Ovis aries: one gene and its partner. The protein of the gene in region 2 binds, or shares a complex with, the protein of the main gene of each other region. Links are inferred from orthologs where the notes say so. Each region holds a gene or a part of one and is shown on either strand. Other genes may lie near its edges. The genes, in order: KANSL2 and KANSL3.

What was found.
Region 1: KANSL3 (region 2) and KANSL2 share a complex: the UniProt entries of both Homo sapiens proteins name them as parts of the NSL complex. The link is inferred for Ovis aries from reciprocal best matches to the Homo sapiens genes KANSL3 and KANSL2.

What each region holds. Positions count from the first base shown.
Region 1 is NC_056056.1:137,506,403-137,510,215, reverse strand, and holds part of KANSL2 (KAT8 regulatory NSL complex subunit 2), read right to left. Parts: intron 802-3,813; coding exon 634-801; intron 462-633; coding exon of another isoform or gene 458-461; coding exon 295-457; intron 1-294. UniProt on the Homo sapiens protein: Non-catalytic component of the NSL histone acetyltransferase complex, a multiprotein complex that mediates histone H4 acetylation at 'Lys-5'- and 'Lys-8' (H4K5ac and H4K8ac) at transcription start sites and promotes transcription initiation.
Region 2 is NC_056056.1:103,885,341-103,889,153, reverse strand, and holds part of KANSL3 (KAT8 regulatory NSL complex subunit 3), read right to left. Parts: intron 3,562-3,813; coding exon 3,487-3,561; intron 3,309-3,486; coding exon 3,151-3,308; intron 1,216-3,150; coding exon 1,152-1,215; intron 719-1,151; coding exon 518-718; intron 340-517; coding exon 183-339; intron 1-182. UniProt on the Homo sapiens protein: Non-catalytic component of the NSL histone acetyltransferase complex, a multiprotein complex that mediates histone H4 acetylation at 'Lys-5'- and 'Lys-8' (H4K5ac and H4K8ac) at transcription start sites and promotes transcription initiation.

The DNA of each region.
Region 1 (3,813 bases), about 34 Mb from region 2:
ACCCTTTGCGACCCCACAGACTGTAGCCCACCAGGCTCCTCTGTCCATGGATTCTCCAGGCAATACTGGAGTGCATAGCTAGTTCCTTCTCCAGGAAATCTTCCCAAACCAGGGATCAAACCCAGGTCTTCCATGTTGCAAGCAGATTCTTTACTATCTGAGCCATCAGAGAAGCCCTGTAAGCCTAGTAAGTTAGATTTTAGAAACAAAACTGTACAATAGCGTTCACCGTAAAAGCAAAGTGTTCTCTGTAAAAGCAAGTGTATATACCTTAGAGGTATATACACAAATCACCTGTTGGGCGGCACCATCTGTGGCCAGCATTCTGCGCTCCTTCAGCTGTCTGTGTAGTAAGGCTTCCACTCCATAGCGCTGACGATACCGACGAAGACATTTTAGACGCTTTAAGTTTTCTCGTTCTTTGGCCAAAAGTCCCTCTGGGCCAGTCAGGAGACTACTACCTGGAAAGTCAAAACAGTCAAGATGTTATCTGCCAAGCAACCAAGGATGCATCTTCAAACAGTTTCAGAAGCAAATCCTTCTCCACTCCAGGTAACAAAAAAGAAGTAAGTCTAACTACCAAATTTACATGTTGATTAAACCCATGACAGGTTGTTGGAACTGGCATAAAACTTGCCTAGAGCTTCATGTTCCACTTTGCGATTGTGTAAGTAACGTCGCTTCTTCTCTTTGAGCAGATGCTGAAGTCGTTTAAACTGATCAATGTACAAAGATTGCAAACGAATAAGCTTCTCACGCATAATCAGGGCCACTTCTTCTGCTGTATAGACACCAGCATGTCTAGAATAAGATGATTCAAAAAGGATAAGAAGGCACAACAATAAGACCCAAGCTTAAAAGGAGCAAAGAGTAAAGGTTAGACTTAGGTTTGCTATTCAACAAGCAGTCAGTGCTAAGATAATCACCTTACTAAATAAAAATGTTTTCACAGAATTTTATTATTGTCATTAAAAAACAAACTACCCAAGAATGGATACTAATGTATGATCTCAAAATGTGGATAAGGAAAAACATTTCATTATGCTCTCCAGTTATTTCCATTATGTTTAAACAGGAGTAAAGATACAGAACACTCAAAACTTCTATTAATCTAGTCTTGTTCCCTTTAATAATTTAATACAGAAAAAATCACTTACCAGTAAATTAAAGTGTTAATTTAGTAGCATGTATCTCAATATATTTTAATTAAAGTACAAAAGATCACAAACAATTACAACTTCTAATTTAAAAGTACACTTTTAATTGGTGGTCCAGTGGTTAGGGTTCTACGCTCTCACTGCTGAAAGGCCTGGAATCAATCCCTGTTCAGGCAACTAAGATCCCATAAGCCACAAAGCATAGCCAAAAATAAATAAATAAAAATAAGCTACACTTGTATTTCGGAGTTTATACCAGCCCTCAAAACACTGATCCCAATGGCTAGTCAATGTCCTCAGCTCATTCTCTTGACAATATTCTGAAAATATAGTACCCTGGAGAAACCCTTAATTGCCAAAGACCTAGATCAACTTTATTAAGCTTTGCCACCAACTATGAATTAACAAAACTTAAAAAAAAAAAACCTTATTCTAGAAAAGAAAAACAGCTAGATATATACCTTGACTTGATACTCTCCTACTTTGATCTAGTAAAAATTATTTCTATTATTTAAAAGGCAAAATATACATGAACTATATACTAATTTTAAATCCAAAAAGTATGTGCTCTTTAAAATTTAACTCTTAAATCACTGAAATACACAGAATAAAACTATTAACTTTAGGACTGAGAGCAAATAATCTCTGCCAAAAACTTTTCTTATATATAAACAGGAGATAATACCTGTGTATAAGAAAAGTACAACTACAAAGTACTCTGAAATTATAAAAACAGCAAAATCTAAGATTCAGAAAATGTGAAAATTTCAAAACTATCTAATGTTTAAACAAGGTGATGAGGTTATTCATATTCAAGAAAATGGGGCATATCTGCATTAATGCCTGAATCCCTAAAATATTGAGGCCTTAACCTAACATCATTTGTTAGAATGAAATTAATTTCATTGTACCCTCAGAAGAGAATTTAACTGGGGACTACAATTTACAACAAATCATTTGGGGAGGCAGATGAGCATCCTAACTAAGGTAAATGCCTACTGCTGCTGCTAAGTCGCTTCAGTCGTGTCCGACTCTGTGCGACCCTATAGACAGAAGCCCACCAGGCTCCCCCGTCCCTGGGATTCTCCAGGCAAGAACACTGGAGTGGGTTGCCATTTCCTTCTCCAATGCATGAAGGTGAAAAGGGAAAGGAAAGTCACTCAGTCGTGTCTGACTCTTAGCGACTCCATGGACTGCAGCCTACCAGGCTCCTCCGTCCATGGGATTTTCCAGGCAAGAGTACTGGAGCGGGGTGCCATTGCCTTCTCCGAGGTAAATGCCTATCATGTGACAAATGCGTCATTTATTTAAAGATAGAGCCACAAATATTCATAGCTAGTTTTAATTTTAAAAATCATGTACTAACTCTTCTTGCTCTGATACGCACAACTATAAGTCTAGGTTTATTATTAGACCAATTTCAAAAAAGGGAATCACTTATTATATTGTGTTAAATTGTTTTTGCCCTTTGTTCCTTTCAGGGGAAACTGACATCTAGCCCTTTTACCACTTATTATTTCTCATAAAATTAACTGGTATTTTGTTTCATGTAACAATCTCCTGTAAGGGCTTCCCTCCTAGCTCAGTCGGTAAACAATCTGCCTGCAATGCAGGAGATCCAGTATTCGTGCCTGAAGAATTCCACGGACAGAGGAACTTGGCGGGCTACAGTCCATGGGGTCGCAAGAGTTGGACACGACTTAGCGACTAAACCACCGATCTCCTGTATGTAAGTCAGGTTAGCGTAAATGTAGATCAGTGAAGACTGACCCACTCTAGATTAGCAGAGACAAAATAAAGTTTCTGGACCTTACAAACTGAGTGTTTACCACACCCAAAGACAATCACTTAAACAATCAAGTATGGCATTTCCAGAAGCACAATGTAACTATATAAATTACATCTATATCCACATCCATATATATATATATATAATATCTATATCTATCTATCTATCTGTGGCTTAGTATAAAGTTTCTACTGTGAAAATATCCTGCTAGAAACAAGCATTTCTTCTCAAACTACTTACATGGACTTTCCAAACAAGTAGTTCCTGAATAGCTCTCTAAATTCAGATTACTTAAAATAGATGAAACTATTCTACTCAGAAAATAGAACCCTAAATGACTTCTTATAAAGTTCAGAATCCAAGGAATGAAGAAGATGCTATTCTAAGAATTTGTCAAACACAGTCAAGTCTAGAAATGCATCACCCCTCCCACTATTTAAGAGTTCTTCCACCTAAACTGTCAGCGGGAAGTATCAAGAGATAGAAGTCAGGAAAAAACAAAAACTAAACCCAAACTATGAGACACAGAAACATTAGACTTCTGGGTGGCAATGTTCTGTAACTCCAAAGCGATCGTGGGTTAGGTAAAGAGCAGAACCTTAGTAAGATGTAATTAGGACAATTACTCCTAGGTTTCTAAATCAGTTTCTCTTTCTTAGGCATGAAACCAAAGGAAGCTCTTAAACACCTTTTAATTTTTCTTAAACATATAAAGGTAAATAAAATATAAATTAATCAGAACTTTGGGGGTAAAAAAGTTGTTACTCAAATATAATCAGTTTTTCATTCCTGAGGTTTAAGTCAAGCACAAATTTTCATCACTCTTCTCTGATCTCTACCCACCTCTCAACTCCTATGTCCAATAAA
Region 2 (3,813 bases):
ACCAGCACAGACCTTGTGTCATAGTTTATCCTTGAAAGCAGCCCTCAGTATTTATTCCAACCTAATTCTGCATGGACAGATACGTCTGGAAAAAGCGGCAGGTGCCAATACTTCCCAACTGCCACATGACGTCAACTGAGAAGGCAGAAGCCAAGAGAGGCCCCTGGGCCAGGCGGCCGCACCTTGGGCTTGTCTGTGGGTCAGCACAGCCTCTGTCCGCTGCACGTGTCTCTTCAGCAGCTGGGTGCCTCCAATCTGACTGGACTTCTGGGAAGAGGCCACCGTGCTCACTTTCGTCTTGGGACTGGAGGTGGGGCTGCTGGACACACTGGAGAGATCCTGAGTAGATTGAGAGGACAAGGGCCAAGCCAAGGTCACTTGGATGGAGTGTCAATCATCAAGTCCCCTTGGAGGCCCCCGGTCAGGGATCCCCCTGCAGGAACTCCGAGGCCTGGCAAGCACAGGAACCCACCCTGCTGACTCCCCAGCAACAGCGCCCCCTCTCTGCCTGCATTACCTCTGAGCCCGAGGGGGAGGCAGGCAGCTTGGCAGCTGGTGACGCAGGTCGACTGCCCCGCTCCGAGACCTCGAAGGCCAGGTCTCTGCGGGCCACGTCTCGGGGCTTCTTCTTCTTCTCGGCATCCTGATCCCGAGGCTCGGAGCCCACGTGCCCCTCGGTACGAGTAAGTACCCCGGTCAAGAAGTCTACGATCTCGTCCTGGGGAAAGGAGGAGCCCAGACCTCAGGAAGCTCCCCAGCAGTCCCTACTAAAATGGAGTCACCCCAGCTCTGAAACCAGTGTGCTGTCCCTCCTACCTCGCAAAGCCCGGCACAAGCCCTACACTCAGCCAGGGACCTGCAGGAGCCCAGGCCCTGTGCCCAGGGTGTGGGGTGGCATTCTGGGTGGCCACACTTCACCACTCCTCAGTGAACCCTTCCTCCCCACCCGCTGTGCTCACATCTTCGATCATTACTCTCCTCCCTCCCCTCCCTCTTTCCCCCTTTTCTTTGCCTATGACTCAGGTCCCCGAAAGGCCCCAGGGGATACCCAATCCTCCACAGAGTCGGGAGGATGCTGCCAAGGAGACCAAGCCTAAAGGGTCACAGACAGACAAGCCCAGCTGAGAGGCCCACGGAAAGCAGCTGTGTACCTGAATGCATCTGTCCACCATGCTCTGCGTCAACCCTTCCGATTTCTTCTTTGCTTTGCTTATTCTAAGAGACAAAAAAGAGAAATCTTTACTTTCCAAACATTTCACAGGAACAAATGTAAATAAGAACGGCTTTCTCTTCTGTGTTGGTTCTTTTCTAAGCCGAAGAAGGAAGATGATGGTAGCCCACAGGCAGGTCTGCAGCCTCTCTGAGCCTCAGTTTCCACATCTGCAAAATAAGGCACCCTCGTACCTCCCTCATGGAGCGGTGGGGAGGACACAAAGCAACATAGGTAACAAACCAGAGAAAACATGGAAGGTACTTGGGACTGTTCACTCCAGAAGTCCTACACCTACGGCTTCACAGGTGAACTCTATCTGATTGCTAAGACCTCATCTTGAGGTACCCCAATACAGTTCCAAACCCTGAGACTTCTAGGAGCTGTGAAATGGTATTACCAGGAAAGGTGGCCACAGGTTAGTTCTAAAGCCATCAGAGAAACCGACCACCGCTGGCTGCATTCTCCTCTTTGAAAGCCAGACTTAAATGCCCTGGCTTCTGCCTGGGGTCTCAGCAGGGACAGAAACAGAGGCAAGTGACAAGGCGGAGAGCGACACTTCGAGCCTCCACATCCCGAGGCCCCAGTTCACTACTGTTCGGCCTCTAGCCCTGTCGGGTAACCTGCTCCTATCACAGAAGAGGACACCAAGCCCCAGAAGTTAAGCAATTTACCCAAGCAAAGGAGCCAGGAGGTAAACTGAGGTCTCCTGACTCTCAGTCCAACGCCCTCAGCGCCGTGCAAATATGTCTCACAAGCAGCCTCATGATGCGACTCGAACGGAAGGCATGTTCACCCCTCCCACTCCCTCGCCACGACTCAACAGCCTATTCCCCTATAGGCAAGAATGACTGAATTAATAAGAAAGAATGTATTCACAAGCAAGCGTTGCCCTGAGCATCCAAGGATTAGACTCTAGGTCCACAAGAAGCTGTCAGATGACAAAGGCCAGGAAGGCTTCTCTCCAAAGGATCTGTGGGTGAGAAAGTGACAAGACAGGTGGGAACAGGCACTCACTCTAAGCTCTCCTGTAAAAACACTGATAGGAAGCTGATACATAAGACTGAGCATGTGAGAAAGGAGGCCGATAAAGGACACAATCCCTTTCCCAGTACATTTCATGAAAATGCAACTGAAGGCCCCGCTGGCAGACCCTGAAAGGGAAGAATGGCCATCTCAATGACTAAAGATGCCCCCTTAAAATCGCTTCCAAACTCTGGTGGCTTATACTCCAAATATAAAAGGATGCCTGTGACAAATAAAATCTTTGTTCAAATTCATCCTCAGTATTACTAGGAAGAAAATGTAAAGAAATGCCTACCCCAGTGAAAGCCCAATGGCAAAGACTATGATTACAGCATCTCGAGATATCTTCTCCCCACAAGAAGACTACTAACTACAAAGGGAAAAACAGTAACTGAAGAGAAGCCTGGCAGATACTACCCTAACGACGTGATCAACGGTGACCTTGCCGGTAACAGGACACAGCAACATCATGCAGCCCCGAGGCTGCACGCAGGGCACATGAGCTCCGTGGCATTCCTGCCAAAGGTGTGCCCGCAACCTAATCACGAGACAACGTCAAACCCTAAACTGAGGAACAGTCTACAGAACAGCACTCTTAGGAAGCGTCAAGGTCACGACAGATAGGCTGAGGAACAGCGTCACATTAAGAGGAGGCTGAGGAGACACAGCAACCGGCAGCCCTGCGCGGCCTGGACTCGGCCCGGGACTAGACGAGCGCAGAGACGACACAGTGCCGTCTGCGAGTCTGCAGACCAGGTTACAGTGTCACACCCACGTCAGCTTCCCAGCTTTGACAATTACTTTTGGTTACGCAAGATGTTAACACTTGGGAAATCTGGGTGAACAGTATATAGAATTTTTTGGTACAATCTTTCCAACATGGCACTCTGGCAGCACCCAGGGACCCTACCCACCTGAGATTGTCATCAGCTCCCCCAACCACCACCAAGCTGTTCTCCGCCCGAATCTTCTCCCGGAAGTCCTCCATGGCTTCGGGGTGGCACTGCAGGGAGTTCTGACCGATGACAAAGAGGACTGGAGTCTTCATATCCAAGAGGGGATCGTCTACATCCTGAGCAGGTCCGGTTTTACAGTCAGCCAATTGATGCTTGCTCAACACTGCCTGGCAAGCCCACTCAACAGAGCCCCCCGGGTAGCCGCGGCCTCCGAGCAGCAGCACGGGAGGGGCAGGCTGCTACTCCGGTCCTCCCACTGGCCAGTGGCCCGGCACCCACAGGCCCCACGCTTACCCCTCTGGGGCCGTCCACGGTAAGCAGAGGAAACCCAAGGCAGACGACAGCAGTGACGTATTCCATCACCGACACCTGCAAATAAGGGCATGGCCTGCCTCAAGGCCAACTGACCTCCCCACAGCTACAGCCTACCCAGAAGCCACCGGCCGGTCCCACCTCCTCCTCCTCAGTTGTAACTCCCAGGTGATGACACGACCCCGAGGTGATGACACAGGTGTACCAGCCACACAGTAGGGCAGTAAGAGGACAGACACAGGACGTCTGCTTACACCAGCAGCCCCCACCAAGAGAACCGGGGCCCTCAGGGGACCCCACCTAAACCTC